Linked DNA regions of Macaca fascicularis. The protein of the gene in region 2 purifies or fractionates together with the protein of the main gene of each other region. This does not show direct contact. Links are inferred from orthologs where the notes say so. Each region holds a gene or a part of one and is shown on either strand. Other genes may lie near its edges.

What was found.
Region 1: the proteins of EXOSC10 (region 2) and EXOSC2 fractionate together in Homo sapiens (co-fractionation; 9 studies listed by BioGRID and IntAct, with this or other methods). This does not show direct contact. The link is inferred for Macaca fascicularis from reciprocal best matches to the Homo sapiens genes EXOSC10 and EXOSC2.
Region 3: the proteins of EXOSC10 (region 2) and EXOSC1 purify together in Homo sapiens (co-immunoprecipitation; 8 studies listed by BioGRID and IntAct, counting the BioPlex papers as one, with this or other methods). This does not show direct contact. The link is inferred for Macaca fascicularis from reciprocal best matches to the Homo sapiens genes EXOSC10 and EXOSC1.

The regions. Positions count from the first base shown.
Region 1 is NC_088389.1:13,178,347-13,181,994, reverse strand, and holds part of EXOSC2 (exosome complex component RRP4), read left to right. Parts: intron 1-1,197; coding exon 1,198-1,266; intron 1,267-2,475; coding exon 2,476-2,652; intron 2,653-3,389; coding exon 3,390-3,518; intron 3,519-3,648. UniProt on the Homo sapiens protein: Non-catalytic component of the RNA exosome complex which has 3'->5' exoribonuclease activity and participates in a multitude of cellular RNA processing and degradation events.
Region 2 is NC_088375.1:223,724,514-223,728,161, reverse strand, and holds part of EXOSC10 (exosome complex component 10), read right to left. Parts: intron 991-3,648; coding exon 895-990; intron 668-894; coding exon 596-667; intron 1-595. UniProt on the Homo sapiens protein: Catalytic component of the RNA exosome complex which has 3'->5' exoribonuclease activity and participates in a multitude of cellular RNA processing and degradation events.
Region 3 is NC_088383.1:106,397,356-106,401,044, forward strand, and holds the start of EXOSC1 (exosome complex component CSL4), read right to left. Parts: upstream 2,879-3,689; 5' UTR 2,857-2,878; coding exon 2,826-2,856; intron 2,719-2,825; coding exon 2,603-2,718; intron 188-2,602; coding exon 113-187; intron 1-112. UniProt on the Homo sapiens protein: Non-catalytic component of the RNA exosome complex which has 3'->5' exoribonuclease activity and participates in a multitude of cellular RNA processing and degradation events.

The DNA.
Region 1 (3,648 bases), on a different chromosome or scaffold from region 2:
GCTTTAGGCTTTTGTTAATGATGTTAACTTTTAGCCCAGGGAGTGGAAGAGGTGTTGTTCACATCAAGATATTAATGACAGGCCGAGTGTGGTGGCTCATGCCTGTAATCCCAGCGCTTTGGAAGGCCAAGGAGGGAGGATTGCTTGAGCCTAAGAGTTCAAGACCAGCCTGGGCAACATAGCAAGACCCCCTCTCTACAAAAAAATAAAAATAAAAAATTAGCCGGGCATGGCGGCACATGCCTAGCTACTCAGGAGGCTGGGGCCGGAGGGTTGCTTGAGCCCAGGAGCTCAAGGCTACAGTGAGCTCTGATCACACCACTGCATTCCAGCCTGGGTGACAGTGCACGACTCTGTCTCTATTATATGTTATTTAAAATTTTTTTTTTTTTTTTAAGACAGAGTCTTGCTCTGTTGTCCAGACTGGAGTGCAGTGGCGTGATCTCAGCTCACTGCAACTTCCGCCTCCCGGATTCAAGCAATTCTGCTTTAGCCTCCCGAGTAGCTGGGATTACAGGTGTGTGCCATGCCCTGGTAATTTTTGTATTTTTAGTAGGGACGGGGTTTCACCATATTGGCCAGGCTGGTCTTGAACTCCTGACCTCAGGTGATCTGCCCACCTTGACCTCCCAAAGTGCTGGGATTATAGGCATGAGCCACCATGCCTGGCCTTTAATTTAATTTAATTTAATTTATTTTTTTGAGACGGAGTTTCGCTCTTGTTGCCCAGGCTGGAGTGCAATGGTGCGATCTTGGCTCACCACAACCTCTGCCTCCTGGGTTCGAGCGATTCTCCTGCCTCGGCCTCCTGAGTAGCTGGGATTACAGGCACCTGCCACTACGCCCAGCTAATTTTGTATTTTTAGTAGAGACGGGGTTTCTCCATGTTGGTCAGGCTGGTCTAGAACTCCCGACCTCAGGTGATCCACCCGCCTCAGCCTCCCAAAGTGCTGGGATTACAGGCATGAGCCACCGCGCCTGGCCTTCTGTCTCTATTTTTTTAAAAAAGATATTCATGACAACCAAGGGGAGAAGTGAGGTCCCAGTGATGTCCTCTGGGTCTGTCTAAGATTGTTGAGCCTGGACCATTGGAGAGGGGAGGAAAAGATGGAGGTGTGGGGTCAAGGGGCAGAGGCTGCAGAGGACAGGACAGTGTGTGGCCGAGGCTACTGTTTGTTCCTTCATCACCCTGGCCAGGCTGAGGTCCAGGCAGTGTTCTCTGATGGAGCTGTCTCTCTGCACACGAGGAGCCTGAAATATGGAAAAGTAAGTTGGGCTCTTGATGTTCCTGTTTGCTGACTGAGATTGCAAGGCTATTTCTTAATCCCTATAGCTCTCTGGAATTCTGGCCTAAAGAACCCCAGTAGCTAAGCATTAATAGAGGTTGGCATCCCACAAACTGATCGTGTTCCTTAAACATAACATGAGGGTTCACAGGTCAGGGTTCACAGGGTCATGGGTCAGTAGCTTTGTAAAGAACAAGTTTTATCCTTTTTCTCCAGGGAGACTGACTCTTTGGACAGAGGAGCCCGTCCAACTGTGGGCTGGGAGGTGCAGCTGTCTCTCTCCCTCCAGGGGGCGCTGCAGCTCAGCACTGGGGCCGGGGCTGAGGCGGTCCTGGGAACAAAGGGAGGCTGGGCCTGGAGAAACAACCCTTGGACAAGCGTCCAGTCAGTCCAGTGGATGTTATTGCTGGCAAAGCTTGCTCTGTCATCTGAGCCTCTAAATGGAATTTCACTGCTTTTCTTGTACGAGGTTGCATTATTGAAGCTATTTATTATTTTAAGGAGAGCATACTTCCTAAAACAAATTAGGATTTACTAGTCTCTCAGCTTTATCTGGGTGAACACTTTTATTTTCTGAGTGGAACAAAACCTCTTCCCTTAATGGAGTGGCTGCAGCCAGCCACGTTCAAGTACATGGAGTAGGCAGAGGACTGCTGCAGTATGCTGACTTTCGCAACCCTGGGTCCTGTGGACTCGCCCTTGGCAGGACATGCACTTGAGCTGGCCTGCCAGGACCAGACATGGATTTGCACCCAGCTCCACCCAGCTCCTTACCTACCCAGAGGCACACATCTCACAGGCAAGATGAGTGTTTGGGGTTCAGGTATGAGCTAGGGTCCTGGAACAACACAGTGCTACTGGACCAGCAGGAGGCTTCAGCTCCCTCATTGGCTTCAACTTCTCTAATGTCTGGCACCTGAGTTCTGGCTTAGAGTGCAAGGGAGACTGTAAAGGGAAATGACAGAGAAGAGCATTGAAAGTCACCTTCTGCTGGGATGTATGAATAGCCTCTGAGTCCCCAAGTGTTCTCTGCAAAAATGTGTACTATGGGTGTGCGTATAGGCGACAGCAATTGTAAACAGGAAGGACACCAATTTGAATATACTTAGGATGTGTATTCTGTAGTCTCCTTTTCATTCATCCCACTGATGATCCTGTAGTGACCTAGCTTTGTGATGTATTTCTTTAGCTAGGTCAGGGGGTTTTGGTCCAGGTTTCCCCCTCCCTGGTGAAACGGCAGAAGACCCACTTCCATGATTTGCCATGTGGTGCCTCAGTGATTCTCGGTAACAACGGCTTCATCTGGATTTACCCAACACCTGAGCACAAAGAAGAGGAAGCAGGGGGCTTCATTGCAAACCTGGAGGTGAGCAAACACTGTGGCCACTGTCGGTGGGAAGGATGGGACTCAGTCTTTGCTGTGTTTTTGTGGCCAGTGAAATTGGTGGTTTTTAGCTCTATTACTGCTGTAGGCTGAGTCACTTTGACTTTCCATCAAGGTGTATTCATGAACCCCATATTATCTTCTCTCTTCTAAGGAGATGAACTCAGTGAATGGTTCGATGTTTGTTGGTGGCGATGGCAAAGTTGCAGGGTAACGCCGAAGAGCCACTGAAGAAGCCATTCTTTTTTCTGTTTGTTTGTTTGTTTGTTTTGTTTTGAGACAGAGTCTCACTCTGTAGCCCAGGCTGGAGTGCAGTGGCGCCATCTCGGCTCACTGCAAGCTCCGCCTCCCGAGTATAAGAGATTCTCCTGCCTCAGCCTCCCGAGTAGCTGGGATTACAGGCGTGCCCCACCATGCTCTGCTAATTTTTGTATTTTTAGTAAAGATGGGGTTTTACCATGTTGGTCAGGCTGGTCTCGAATTTCTGACCTTGTGATCCACCCGCCTCGGCCTCCCGAAGTGCTGGGATTACAGGCATGAGACACTGCGCCCTGCCCCATTCCTTTTAATCTCCCTTGGAGTTAGCTGTTTGGTTGGTTTGGAGTTCCAGGGTGATATTTTCTGATTCATAAGTAATTTATTTGTGATTTTCTGTGGCTGGTCACGTATTTTGGTCCTGTTTATATTTCCCTTCCCTTCTCCTCTGTGTCTCCTTATAGCCTGTCTCTCTTGCTGATCGAGAGGTGATATCCCGGCTTCGGAACTGTGTCATCTCGCTGGTAACTCAGAGGATGATGCTGTATGATACCAGCATCCTCTACTGCTATGAAGCATCCCTTCCACATCAGGTACTCTCCTCAGGACCTCTCACTTCTTCATTGATCTGTGAGCTGCTCTGTTGTTTGCGCAGAGACAATGTGCGTGTCTCCCAATACTTTCCAGACATCCATCAGTATGAACTGGCCTGAAACAGCCCTA
Region 2 (3,648 bases):
TATTTGTGTACTTTACTACATATAGATTAAACCTCAATTAAAAAACCGCAAGTGAAGATTTGTTTCTTACAAGGTTTCCCAGTGCTTTTAAGAATCTCACTGAAGTTCTGGACCCTTTCCCTAGAAACAACGCTAGAAAATAAAGGGCTTTTGCCTTCATTGTCAGGGGATTCACAGATGAGATGGACTTGTCTACAACAGAAACCTGGTCTGAATAATTAGGAAATCCCCTTTTCTTAGAAAGTCTCTTTTAGGGCCAGGCGCAGTGGCTCACGCCTGTAGTCCCAGCACTTTGGGAGGCCGAGGCGGGTGGATCACCTGAGGTCAGGAGTTCGAGACCAGCCTGGTCAACATGGTGACACCCCATCTCTACAAAAATTAGCCGGGCATGATGGCAGGTGCCTGTAATCCCAGCTACTCGGGAGGCTGAGGCAGAAGAATTGCTTGAACCTGTGAGGTGGAGGCTGCAGTGAGCCGAGATCGTGCCACTGCACTCCAGCCTGGGTGACAAAATGAAACTCCGTCTCAAAAAACAAAAAAAAAAACAAATAACAACAAAAAAGTCTCTTTTAGAACAGGTGACAAGTCCACTTACTTCATAGATTTTTGTTGATGGATCGAACTTCGCTGCCTGAGAGACGGCACGGTGTCCTAGTGAGGGCAGAAACTGGAGGAAGGAAACGGCTGTGTGAAACGTTGCTGGGAACGGAATCTAGGCCCACAGCGCAGAGGTGCTCAGATGGGGGGCTGCTGGTGCCATGTCAGCGTCTTTGCCTGGACACCAGGGCAGCTGACACACTGGCTTCAGAGGCTTCCTTCCCAGGTGAAAGCATGTACAGCTGTAGGCATCTCTATATATCCTGTCAGCCCTGAGTACACAAAACTACGACTCACCATTCTAAATGGATTTTCAAAGGACTCCATGATGTTCTGGGCTTTTTTCTGTGCAATTGTCAATGGACCCTTTTTATTGTCTTCAGCACTAGGTTCCTGCAGGGACAGACAAAAAAATGATCACTAATAACCATGATCATCTGTGACATCAAGACGCAAGCAAGACAGCAATAGTGAATAGTGATTTTTTTTTGTTTTTGGAGACAGAGTCTCGCTCTGTTGCCCAGGCTAGAGTGCAGTGGTGTGATCTCTGCTCACTGCAACCTCCATCTCCTGCATTCAGGTGATTCTCCTGCCTCAGCCTCCTGAGTAGGTGGGATTATAAGCACGTGCCACCATGCCCGGTTAATTTTTGTATTTTTAGCAGAGACCAAGTTTCACCATATTTGGCCAGGCTGGTCTTGAACTCCTGACCTGAAGTGATCCACCCGTCTTGGCCTCCCAAAGTGTTGGGATTACAGGCATGAACCACCGCATGCACCCAGCCAGTAACAGTGATATTAATACCAATGGCTAAGGCTAATTTTTCATGCACTGTCCTATGTATAAGGCGTTGTGTCTGCAACAGCACCCAGTAGCATTTCAATATCAATGTGCTGGATCAGTGAATTCTCACCATGTCCTCATAGCCTATGTGGTGGTATTACTCTCACCACCTTACAGAGGAGGAAACTGAGGCCTACAGAGGTTGTGACAGTCTTTCAGAGGCTTGCAGTGAATATGAGCAGACCAAGGATTTAAACCCAGCATGGTCTGGCTCTAGAATATGAGGTCTTAATTGATGCCTGAAATTTATTTTATGTATGTATGTATGTATTTTTTTGAGATAGAGTCTTGCTCTGTTGCCCAGGTTGGAGTGCAGTGGTGTGATCTCTGCTCACTGCAACCTCTGCCTCCCCGGTTCAAGCGATTCTCCTGACTCAGCCTCCCGAGTAGCTGGGATTACAAGCATGCACCACAACCCCCGGCTAATTTTTGTGTTTTTAGTAGAGACAGGGTTTCACCATGTTGGCCAGGCTGGTCTCAAACTCCTGACCTCAGGTGATCTGCCCACCTTGCCCTCCAAAAGTGCTGGGAGCCACCGCACCATGCCTGAAATTTAATATTACATACCTTTACAGGGAATCATTGAAATTATGCAACAAAATGCTGCTTCCAACTGGGTTCATAAATATGTGCTATCCTTTTGCTTCATTTGTAATTATGCCCCTCTGCAACACAGATTGTGGGGAGACCACAGCCTCCTTTACCCCAAACAGCACTTCCATATCAAAGCAGCCCAGAGTTCATGCTAACATGTTTAGCTAATAAATTACCTTCATGACTCAAATTAGCTCTGAGGTCAACTAAAGCACCTCATATTTTCTCATTAACTGCTAAAGCAAGGCCCAATCTAGATTTATGAGATTAAGTTAAAAACAAAAGTCAAGCCCGGGCCACATGGTGAAACCCCATCTCCACAAAACATACAAAAATTGGCTGGGCATGGTGGCAAATGCCTGTAGTCCCAGCTACTCGGGAGAAGGCTGGGGCAGAAGGATTGCTTGAGCCCAGGAGGCAGAGGTTGCAGTGAGCCAAGATGGTGCCACTGTACTCCCACCTGGGTGACAGAGTGAGATCCTGTCTCAAAAAACAAAAAAAAAACAAAAAAAAAGCCGGGTGTGGTGGCTCATGTCTGTAATCCCAGCACTTTAGGAAGCTTAGGCAGGTAGATCACCTGAGGTCAGGCATTCGAGACCAGCCTGACCAACATAGCGAAACCCCATCTCTATTAAAAATGTAAAATATTAGCTGAGTGCGGTGGCGGGTACCTGCAATCCCAGCTACTAGGGAGGCTGAGGCAGGAGAACGCGTGAGCCAAGATGGTGCCACTGCACTCCAGCCTGGGCGACAAGAGCGAAACTCCATCTCAAAAAAACAAACAAAGGCCGGACACGGTGGCTCAAGCCTGTAATCCCAGCACTTTGGGAGGCCGAGGTGGGCAGATCACAAAGGTCAGGAGATCGAGACCACAATGAAACCCTGTCTCTACTAAAAATACAAAAAATTAGCCGGGCACGGTGGCGGGCGCCTGTAGTCCCAGCTACTCAGAAGGCTGAGGCAGGAGAATGGCGTGAACCTGGGAGGCGGAGCTTGCAGTGAGCCGAGATCGCGCCACTGCACTCCAGCCTGGGCGACAGAGCGAGACTCTGCCTTAAAAAAAAAAAAAAAAAAAAAAAAAAAAAAAAAACAGACAAAACAAACAAACAAAAAAAGTGAAACAGCTGGGTGCAGTGACTCATGCCTGTAATCCCAGCTACTTGGGAGGCTGAGGCAGGAGGAACATTTGAGCCTCAGAGGGAAAGGCTGCAGTGAGCCATGATTGTGCCACTGCATTCCAGCCTGGGTGACAGAACAACATTGTATCAAAAAAAAAAAAAAAAAAAAGGGTTTCAAAAGCGTTCCTCTTCTTCACTGAAAGCACACATATGTGATGCTGGAGTCAGGCAGGAAGCTACGGGCAGTGCACATTCTACAGTTCGTCGGACAGCACACCTACGCCACCCAAGATGGGCATCCAGGTGAACCGTTTTTCTGCAGCCATCGCTGCAGCTTGTCAACAAAGTCCTGCTTGTATGTTCTCTTAGCGCAAGCCCTCCTCCTACTAGGTGCTGTTCGACAACAGGACGTCAGCCTTTCCCTGAAGATTTCTTCACACACAGAGCTCAGAGAATCCTCCATCCACGACCCCAGACCACCTCCTCCAGAGTGGTC
Region 3 (3,689 bases), on a different chromosome or scaffold from region 2:
AGAAATACATTTATGTAGCTTGTGGCTATCATACTGGACACTGCAGTTCTGGCATGGTCATGATTTCAGCACTGAATGGGCATTCTAAGCATGGAAGTTAGGACAAACTTACCTTACAGGTTACAATAGCTCCGACATCTGGCAGTAACTGGGACTCTGTTTCTCTTACTACAGACACCACAGGAAGCTACGGAGGGAAAAAGAAAAAACTGAAATGTCCTGGCTAACTCTTGGGTCAAAGCATTTGTGTCTTGAGAGTAATATAGGAATGTCTTGGTACACAGGTGAGAGCTGGAGTATGCATTCATTTATAGGCCAGAGCAGAAGGCCTTAGAAATTTTAGGAAATAGGAGGACCAGGGGGCTACAGAATGCTGCTAGAAGATGTAAACCTCTAAACTTCTTTTTTTGTTGTTGTCGTTGGAGATGGAGTCTTGCTCTGTTGCCCAGGCTGGAGTGCAGTGGCATATTCTCGGCTCACTGCAAGCTCCACCTCCCGGGTTCATGCCATTCTCCAGCCTCAGCCTCCCAAGTAGCTGAGACTACAGGCACCTGCCACCACGCCCGGCTAATTTTTTTTGTAGTAAATCCCTAAACTTCCAATAAGTTTTCTGGTGATTCTCTCAGAATTTCTTGGTATACAACTATATTGCCTATAATCATTGACAATTTTACTTTTTTTGGTTTTTTTTTTGAGATGGAGTTTCACTCTTGTTGCCCAGAGTGGAGTGCAATGGCGCCATCTCGGTTCACTGCAACCTCCACCTCCTGGGTTCAAGTGATTCTCCTGCCTCAGCCTCCCGAGTAGTTGGGATTACAGACGCCTGCCACCATGCTCGGGTAATTTTTTGTATTTTTAGTAGAGATGGGGTTTCACCATGTTGGTCAGACTGGTCTCGAACACCTGACCTCAGGTGATCAACCCACCTTGGCTTCCCAAAGTGCTGGGATTACAGGCGTGAGCCACTACATCTGGCTGACAATTTTATTCTTTCCTCCAAAGTTATACTGCTTCTTTCTGTTTCTTATTTTACTGCACAGGCTGAAATTTCCACAGAAATGTTACAAATAGTAGCTACACTTGTTTTAAGTGAATACTTGCAGAGTTTTCTCTTTGAGCATGGTATTGGCTGTTAGTATGAGACAGATATTTTGAGCCTCATCTTTTAACAATCTCTCCGTTGCTTACAATGCTTCAGCTCTCCTGGCCTTCTTTCAGTTTCCCCAACTTACTAAATTCTTCCCACTTTCAGATCTCTCTTCAACCTATTCTTTTTGCCAGAATTGCACTCTCTCCACCCACCTGACTCTAACCTACTCTTTAGATGATTCAGCTTCAATGTCACTTCTGCTGACTAGGATGGATTTGCCTGTTACATGTTCTTAAGGTGCCCTGTAATATTCTTTCAAAGCAGCCACCACATGTGTAACCATATGCTTATTTGAGCATTTATTTGTTTACAATTTGTGTCTGTGTCCTTTGATAGCAGAAACCAAGTCAGCGCTGTGCCTGACACATGAAAATACTCAAGTGGTATCTATCAAATGAACAAACTCAGGACTGTTAAGGACATTCCCAACAATGACTGAATAGAAAGCCCCTTGAGTCAGACGGCTTAAGTTACTTACTCAAAGCAGAATCGAGGTCAAGTTAGCCAGAACCTAACGGTTCTAATTCTGAATCCTCTTTCTACTGTGCTCCTTCAAATATTGCTTATATGATCCTGAGCTAATCCTGGATCAATCTCTAAAACTAGAAAGGTAGGTATTACGCATTCAACAAACATTTATTGAGGAGCTGCTTTGTGCTAGATACTGATGGTATGGTGGTAGCACCTGCACTTCGTGGAACTTAGATTTAAGCAAGGGAGAAGTCTAGTGGGAAACATACCTGAGTGTCTAATCATATGCTGACATAAGTGCTTGGAAGAAAAGGGACAGAGTTTTTTGTAAGTCTTTAACAAAACAAACAAAAACAAAACATCCCACAAAACTCCTTTCCTCAATTAGTGGGTCCAGAAGGGCTTCTCTGAGGTGATAATACAGAAACTAACGGAGGTAGGAATTAAACAGGCCTAAGAAGACAGAAGCGTTCCAGATAGATGGCATGTTACAAAGGCTCTGTAGCAGGAGAAAGCTTGGCACATTACCGACACTGAAAGAAGCTAGTGTGTTACAAATTTTTTTAAAAGGGCAAGCCAAAACTGTGATTATAACTTTTACAAATAGAAAAGACTGTATGATTAGATTGCGTCAGTGAGGTGGAGATAGTGGCACTAGATAAAGCCGGAGAGGTAAGCAACATTCATACAGTATACAACGCACTGCTGGGCTGAGCTGGGCTGGGTTACTGAGTTCGCATCTGCTTTTGTCCCAACCTCCCTCCCCGAGGGTCAGCAGCACAACCAAGCGAGATCAACACAACTAGTGTGTGGTGGCTAAGTGCACAACAGCGGCGATACGGCTAGAAGAAACTAAGAGACCAACATTGTACCACTAAGGCTCTAAAGACGCGTCCGCAGTGCCCATGCCTAAGGACTGGAACTCAAGGGCAGCCTAAGGGAAAAACAGAGAGAGAGGAGACGGCATGCCGCTTCCTTTACCGCGCCGTTCTCGCTGCTCTTCATCAGGCAGCCGGCAAGCGACGAAAAGATGTAGCCGTGGCGGGTGTAGGTGCCGCTGCCCGGGCTGCCCTCCTCCAAGTTACACAGACGTTCGCCTGCAGAAAAAATGCTGCATCGGTCATGGGCCCCCAGAAACTGCAGGCCGTCCAGGCTTCTTGCTTCGGCCCCTATCCAGGACTCTGTACGGGAAGCGCTCACTTACCGGGAATACAGTATCTCACAGGTGGTGCCATGATTGCCGCTGTCCCAAAACCCGGATGAAAACGAAATCGATTTCTCATTGGCCAAACCCAGGCACAGTTCCGCAGTAAGATACGCGTCAATTGGTGTTCTTTATCCTTGCGTGTAAACTCCATTTCCCAGGTTACCCCGGGACAAATCCGGGGGCGGAACTTCAGCGCTCCATGCTTGCGCCTGCGCGTGTGGTTGAGGATGGGCTGGCGGCAGGTCCGGGTCCGCTGGGTGGCACTGCAGGCGGCGGGCCATGGTGGTTTGGATTGAGCCGGGCCCGGCCGGGGCGCCGAGTCGGAGGCGGTGGCAGTGAGCGGCGGCAGAGGCTGCGGGGCTCGGTTTGGCTGACTGGGGAGTCGGCAGGCGGCAGGTAAGGGCGAAGCCTCGGCCCTTGCTCCCCATCCTAGTCCCTTTTTCTGGGTCGGGCAATGCCCTGGGGCCTTGTCTTGAGTCCGGGTTCCTGCTCTCTCCTCGCCCTGCCCTGCGGGGCTGCGCCCTCCTCAGCCGGAGCGCACCTTGCGAGCAACCGTTACGTTCAGAGCAGGAAGGAAGGAGGTCAAGCGACCCAACTCGTCTGTTTCACAGATGTGGAACCTCAGATTCAGAGACCGGGTTTGACTTGTCCAAAATCTTCAAGATAGAGCCCAAACTGGAACCCGCGATTTTTGACTTCCAGTCCATCGCAGTTTCACCTCGCGGCTGTCATTGAGAAATAAAACCTTTTCCCGGTTTTTGTTTTGTTTTGTTTTTGAAAAGGAGTCTCGCTCTTTGGCCAGGCTGGAGTGCAGTGGCGCGATCTCTGCGCACTGCAACCTCCGCCTCCTGGCATCAAGCG